2 linked regions of the Danio rerio genome follow. The protein of the gene in region 1 binds, or shares a complex with, the protein of each later gene. Links are inferred from orthologs where the notes say so. Each region holds a gene or a part of one and is shown in the gene's direction. Other genes may lie near its edges. The genes, in order: aifm3 and nmt1a.

Region 1 (3,833 bases):
ATGTTCTTCCTGTGTTCGCGTGGGTTTCCTCCTGTTGCCCCGGTTTTCCCCACAGTCCATAGACATGCAGTATAGGTGAATTGGGTGAGCTAAATTGTCTGAAGTGTATGTGTGTAAATGAGTATGTATGGTTGTTTCACAGTGATTGCAAAGGCATCCACTGTGTAAAACATATGCTGGATAAGGTGGCGGTTCATTCCGCTGTGGCGAGCCTGGATTAATAAAGAGACTAGGCCGAAAAGAAAATGAATGATTGAATGATAATAAACATGGCTAAAATTATTAAACACTTAATTATTTATTGGACAAATAACTATAATATTGACTTTATGACTATTATGTTCCCTAAATGCCAGGTCAGTTGACATTTAGCGAATTCACGTGATGTTTTAAGTAATCCTAGTGAAACTTATAGGCTATGGCTTTTAACTTTACAATCTGCTGACCTTATCAGTTGCGCTATATATACTGTATTTAGCCTAGTAAAGCTGAATTTACCTTCAGAGTGGCTTGAATGGATAATGCACCTTGTAATGTACTTCAATGTGCAAAACAAAGCCATTTCTTAACATCATTCTTATCTCAGGCTGATTTGATTTTATTCAACTTAAAATAGCTTTATAATAGTTGTACATTTAGAAGAGACTAAGATCAAAGTTTAATTGCCACCTTTAAACATGAGACAGCGCAATTACTGGTTGTTAAGTAATAATAAAGATAAACTGTTGGAGATAACATTCAAAGCATCAGCTAAAGTCACGCATTTATATTCAGATTCAAGATAAAAGAAGAAACTTTCTGATGCTCCTGTTGACCTTATGTGGATGTTCTCACTCAGGGCCTGCTGGTCTGGTGTGTGCTGAGACACTGAGGCAGGAGGGCTTCACTGACCGTATAGTGATCTGCACCACGGACAAACATCTGCCTTACGACAGGCCTAAACTGAGTAAGGTTTGTACACAGAACAGTCCATAGAATAGTGTGGGGGAAAAAAAAAACGTTTAACCATGTAACCCTGGACCACAAAGCTATGATATTTATTCTATGATTCATTAAATGATCCAAAATGATCTGCTTTTTCCTGTATGCCGAAAATCATTACAATATTAATTAAAGATCACCTTCCTTGATGACTTTTCAAAAATGCCCTACTTTCAAAAAAATCGGATCATATTAAAGGTGATTTTCTCAGTATTTTTAAACCTTCATATTCCAGATTTTTAAATGCTTGTATCGCAACCAAATATTGTCATATCATAAATCATACAACAGCAGAATTAATTCAACTTGTATAAATCTCAGTTTGTTATGACTGGTTTTATTGTCCGGGGTCACATATTCAGTACATGATTACATGACAATTTCTTTCCAGCCGAAAGTTTCATTCCGACACTCAGACATTGATTTGATGCTTTTCTTCAGTCTTTAGAGAGCACGGCTGAACAGCTGCAGTTGCGTTCATCTGATTTCTTTCAGATGCATGACATTGAGGTATTACTGGAGAAAGAGGTGAGGTCTTTGTAGATAAAGATGAAAAAAATAACATATAAAAACATGTAAATAACATAAACATGTAAATAAATATTGTAATCTTTCAACTATGATACAAAATACTAAGGCAAATCAGACAGTAATATTGGAACTATACCCTTGTAATACATAATTTTAGGAATAATTAATTTAGTTAGTAATGTAACAGCATTTCAACAAATGACTTCTTAAATATGTTTTTGTTGTTTTTTTTTTTTGTTTTTTTTTTTACAAATGAATATTCAGAATTGCACAAATTGTCATGTTTCTGCACAGGTTGTCTCTGTGGATGTGAAGACACACACTGTGACATTTAGGGATGGGTTTAAAATGGAATATCGAAAACTCTTCATTGCCACTGGAAGCAGGTAAACATGAATACAGCTGAACTACTATTCAGGCAGGGTCCTATCATACGCCCAGTGCAATAAGGCATAACATGTTCCTAGCTCGATTTGTAGCTGTATTCAGACCAGTGTAACCCTAATTTTCATATTTTGCGCCTTGTTGTTTAAATAGCAAATGCATTTGCACCGCTTTGTGGACTCATGGCAATTCCAGTCTACAATAGAGGTGTGTTAAGGCGCATTGTTAGCGCGTTGCTATTTTGAGAAACTAAGGGTGCTTTCACACCTGTAAATTGATTAATTTGTTCCGAAACAGGAATTAAATTTGTTCCATTGTTGCTCTTTGTTCTTGGTGCGGTTTGCTTTCAAGTTTCTAAACTAACCAAAATAGCTAAAACAAGTCCCGCTCAGCTGTCATGTGTCCTTATTTTAACTTATGACGATGAGCAAAAAGACATTATAAGTGAATAGCTGCCTTTTAATTTTAAATGGTGACACCTTTAGATATCGTCAAATATAAAGCAGAGGTAAGACTTTCTCATAGATAGCAGTTGGCTTATGCATTACAGGCTTTACATTATAGAGAGAAATAACAGATAAACTAAGACTGCAGGTCGGTCAGCTTTCCTAACGGATCAACAGCTCTCGTTAATTGTTCAGCATGCTTTCACTTTCGTATTTGAAATGAAACACACATTTACCTGTTGAATGACATCCCGCCCAACTCATAATTCTCTCTTTATATAGCCATATATATGCCTATGACATGTCCATGATACGCTGTGATATAGCCGGGCTCAGATCGTATCGCCTTCTCACTACAATCGATCCACTCCAGAGTTCGTTTCAATTAAGCCCAAGAGCACCTCATTCAGGCGATCTTGGTGTGAAACACCCTAAAATAGACTGTGCTATTGAACAAGTCCAGCGCAGAGCGCGTTAGTTATGTGCGTACAGTATGCAGGATCAAACGATTAATACACACAGGATGTACAGCAATACACAAATATCTTTACAAATGAAAAAAAAAAAAGAATTAAAAATGTTTAAAAAATTATTATTTACTGCATATATATAAAAACGACTGCCTCCATGCCTTCTTTATGTCAGGGGGCTTTTTTCAGTTTATTTATGACAATTTGCTTTCGTATAATTTCCATGTTATTATTAGAACTATTATTTTATTATATGCATATTTATATTTCTTTTTATAAAAACTAGTTTAGGTTGGCGCCAGCGGTGTAGTGGTTAGTGCGTCGACACATGCACTCGCGGTGACCCGGGTTCGATTCCGCCTCGCGGTCCTATGCCGATCCTTCCCCTCTCTTTGCTCCCCATGCTTTCCTGTCAATACTCTCTACTGTCCTATCAAAAATAAAGGTGAAAACCCCCAAAAAATTATTATGAAAACTAGTTTAGATTTGACCATATGGGGCATAAGAATAGGATTTCAGTGAATTCAGTGGAGTGCACAACACAGTTTCTTCATCCACAAAAGTAAAAGTAAAGAGAAAGTAGAGAGGCCGAATGGAGAAGGCTTGTTCTTTATCCTTGCGCTGCAGATGGTCTGTTGAACTGTTTTCTAGCAAATTTACTGTTTTTTTGCAAATTACACATTATTTGACTGTAATATGAACTATATTTTACTGTAGGATATTTATGCAGCATGCTACCGAATTTTACAATTGAATTGTAAAAATTATGTATATTATATGTATAAAATATGAATATTATATGGATAAAAGTATGTATATTATTTGTATAAAAAATGTATATTTTACAGTAAAGATATACATACAATTATGTAAATATATATACAGCAAGCTAAATGGTGCTGCAAATGTAAATACAGTATGTTTGCTGTAATCTATTTACAGTAAGCTACTGACAAACTGGTGCCAGTAAGTTACCGTAGATTCTATGGAATCTAATTGATAAGTGTATGATTTATTTATA
Region 2 (3,833 bases), on another chromosome or scaffold:
GCTATTGCTTACAATTTTGGATTTTTTTACTTTAAAAAGGAAAGAGAAAATATTACAAAATGAATGCTGTTCTTTTACATTTTATATTCATGGACAATTTCTACATTTGTTTGACAGTTTCCACAAAAATACTCTGATTGTCACATGACTCCCATTTATGTACTTCTGTTAACTTTAATATATGCTGTTGCGGGGGTGTCGCTAGACCCCATTTACTGGGGCACGTGCCCCAGTAAAAATCGCCAGTGCCCCAGTAAATGCTTTGAAATACGATTTACTTTATATGCAAGTGTATTTATTAAGAGTGGTAATCCCAGAATAAAGACATCATTCTCTATGTGCAACCAAACCAACGCTGATGAAAGCAATGTAGTTAAATCAAAAAGCAAACTGAGCATGTGCACAGAAAAAAAAAAAAAACATACCCGTGTGGCTCACGCACACTGCTTCTGCTTGACGCTGACGTGCTGCTCTACTCCAGGTTCGGTTGTGAACATGCACGCTAAAAAAAAATTGCAGTGCCGCTCGTGCTTTGTGAAACCAGCACGCAGTGAGATTCGAAAGTCGACAAAATAAAGTTAAAATAATATGATTGTGATCTTATTCATACTGCATGGCTCCTGATATATTTTTTGGTATGAAGCAGAAAGGAGGGATGAAGTCAGAGAGGACAGACTTAATAAACCTAATTCTCGGCCTTAAGTTGGGTCTAAGACAACACACAACAGATAATTCTATAAAACATCTTTTATTGTATTCTATTGAATTGTCTATATCATTTCATTCTAATAAAATTAATATTAATGCAAAAGATTTCTTAAATTATCTTAGCATCACTCCAGTTGCGTCTTTAGATTGTTTTCCGGTTACATTCAGGATTCATTTCAGTAATTTATTTAGAATCATAATTGTATAATAACATTAGTACTGCTATTTATTTATAATTATATATATATATATATTTATTTATTTGTTTATTGATCTTCTTAGGGGGATGCTGTGCCTTAGTAGAGCTTTATGTCTAGCAATGCCCCTGGGCGGTTGTAATGTATATTAATGCATAATTGAAATTTGAACTTTACATCATTTTTTGTACTAATGAGTTTGTTTGTGTTTATTTGGTAGATACTGGCACCGTTCTTTGAACCCACGAAAGCTGATTGAGGTGAAGTTTTCTCACCTTAGTCGCAACATGACTATGCAACGCACCATGAAGCTCTACCGGCTGCCAGAGGTGGGTGTGTGGGTGGGTGTGTGTGTGTGTGTGTGTGTGTGTGTGTGTGTGTGTATGTGTGTGTGTGTATATGTTAGGACTGCACAATATTGGAAAAATCTGCTTTGCGGTTTTTCTTTTGCCACGATATATATTGCGATATGAATATCATTTCATCAGATGATTTAAATAGCTCTATTTGGAAAGATTTCATTCATTTAGATTGACTGTGATTATTAAGTTGTGTTCTATGCACGTGCATCTTAATAAAATATAATAAATTACCATCAAAAATAAAAAATAAACAGTGCTTTGGGGTTTTCTTGGGTGTCTGAATGCTCGTACACAATGGGACGCTTTTCCTTTGCGTTTATTGTCTGCGTTTTTCGAGACATTTTTCCAGATTCAAACCCGATCGATTTTTACTGCCATTGAGCAGAAGAGAATGCAGAATCACTCTTTGATGACAGATGGCGCTACACAACTTTAAGCCTCTAAAACTCGCTTGTAATACAGAAGAAGAAGTCAGAAAGTTGAAACTCTTGTTGTTAAAGTTACTGGCGATTCGAACAAGCCTGGATGGTTGAAGTAGCAGCTCTAGCGATGAAGAAAGGATTATTGTTCACCAGTGCAATAAGCAGCTCCACGTTCATATTGCCTCTGGGCATCTTTTTCAAAATGCGCTCACATTGACAGTGTTGTGCTTGAGCGCCTCCAAGTGCTGTTTACTGTAGCTTCAGCAGCTCCGTGATCAAAAGAGCCAATCTGATTAGTGGAGAAGGAAAAAAACGAGCATAAGGAGTTTCTTAAAAAAATGACGCTTTTACGTCTGTCATTTTGCGCATTGATGTGCATGATCACATTGGTGCCCTTTATTTAGTCACAAGGCGTTAAACGTCAACGGAAAAAGCTTCCCGGTGTGCACGGACCTTAAAAGTATTCAGGTACAGAATGTGAACAATCAAATGAATAATAACATGGTCATCATTTATAAATAATCAAAAACTCGTATTTAATAATATCTTTGTTTTAATCTTTAATAAATAATCTAATCCTGAGATGCAACTATTACAGATACACACTTTGCGATATAGATGCTTGTTCAGCCCTGGTGTGTGTGTGCCAGCCTGTTTCCCTTAATAATCCCTTAATGCTCATTTCTTTCCTTTAGGCTCCCAAGACTGCAGGTTTGAGGCCGATGACCATAAAAGACATCCCACTGGTTCACCGCCTGCTGAAGGAATACCTAAATCAGTTCAACCTGGTTCCAGTCATGAGCCCTGAGGAGGTTCAACACTGGCTGCTCCCTCAGGAGAACATCATTGACACCTATGTAGTGGAGGTACAACACTGCCTTATATATCTGCATATATTGACATTATAGTGTTGTTAGCAGGTAAAAGTGGATGATGTGGTCATTTGTGTAAAGTCTTTGTCATGAGCATCTGGCTGTTTGTGTCATCCATTGCAGACTACAGATGGGAAGGTGACTGATATCCTGAGTTTCTACACTCTGCCGTCCACCATCATGAACCATCCTGTGCACCGCAGTCTGAAGGCGGCATATTCCTTCTATAATGTACACACCACCACCCCACTGGTGGACCTGATGGGAGACGCTCTTATCCTCGCCAAGTCGGTCAGTCACTAAATGCGTGCATATCTGTGCGTGTGTGTGTGTGTGTGTGTGTGTGCGCGCGTGTGTGCGTGTGTGCGTGTGTGTGTGCGTGTGTGTTTGTGTGTGTGTGTGTGTGTGTGTGTGTGTGTGTGTGTGTACTTGTTTTTTATGTAAAACCTGAATGCACACACAAACCCATTTAGACTTGTGCTACTGGGGGAACAAAATTGAGGCCCTGTTTACACAAATACGTTTTAGTTTTAAAACAGCGTTTTGGAATAAAAACAATCCACGTCCAATCCACACTGACATTCACCTAGCATTTCTGAACAGCTCTCCGTCCACACTACACCACTAAAAATGCACATCACGTGACCACACACACTCTGGAATGCTCTTCAACGTATGCGCGCATCTGAGCTACAGGCAGTCAGCAGGTGCTTTGAGCACAAAACCCCAGGTGAGAGCTGTGCACGTCGGACGTCTCATCAACCACCTACCGCTAGATCTGATCTCACTAAAATTGTTAAACGTGATGTATTTGTTAAACATTAAGCTCCGTTTTATTATAAATATTCATACAGTGAAGATGATGCTTATACATATTTAGCTACACGATGCCTTAACATTTTTGGTGTCTGTTAAGTTGCTAATATCAAAATGAAAATTGACAGTTCTTTATATCATGTTATCAGTTTATTAAGATGATGCCAAGATGATGCGAATGACGTTATAAAGTACACTGTTCTCTTTGAAGATTTACCCGATGTGTCCTTAGGAGTTTGTTTTCCAAATCAATCTTGCAAAGTCTGAACTTAGAAGAAAAGGATGCAAGACTGAACTTTACAAAAATGTGCAAAATGTGTTTTAAAACTAAAATGTATAAGTGTAAATGGGACCTTAATGCAAAAACATCTCATAAATCACACAGAATTAAGTATTTTGAAATTGTCAAAATGCTAAATGTTTTCTGTGAGAGTTGGGTTTCAGGGTAGGGGGAAA

The links.
Region 2: the proteins of aifm3 (region 1) and nmt1a are in contact, whole or in part, in a crystal structure (PDB 6SJZ), measured with the Homo sapiens proteins. The link is inferred for Danio rerio from reciprocal best matches to the Homo sapiens genes AIFM3 and NMT1. Residues at the interface, in NP_001373743.1 of Homo sapiens: Gly2, Cys4, Phe5, Ser6, Lys7, Pro8; in NP_066565.1 of Homo sapiens: Tyr180, Val181, Glu182, Asp183, Asp184, Asp185, Phe188, Arg189, Phe190, Asn246, Thr282, Ala283, Gly284, Tyr296, His298, Phe311, Tyr401, Ser405, Ile469, Gly470, Asp471, Asn473, Leu474, Leu495, Gln496.

Annotation. Positions count from the first base shown.
Region 1 is NC_133180.1:13,333,235-13,337,067, reverse strand, and holds part of aifm3 (apoptosis-inducing factor 3), read left to right. Parts: intron 1-838; coding exon 839-951; intron 952-1,422; coding exon 1,423-1,509; intron 1,510-1,806; coding exon 1,807-1,898; intron 1,899-3,833. UniProt on the Homo sapiens protein: Induces apoptosis through a caspase dependent pathway. Reduces mitochondrial membrane potential.
Region 2 is NC_133178.1:38,187,589-38,191,421, reverse strand, and holds part of nmt1a (glycylpeptide N-tetradecanoyltransferase 1), read left to right. Parts: intron 1-1,125; coding exon 1,126-1,234; intron 1,235-2,384; coding exon 2,385-2,555; intron 2,556-2,684; coding exon 2,685-2,852; intron 2,853-3,833.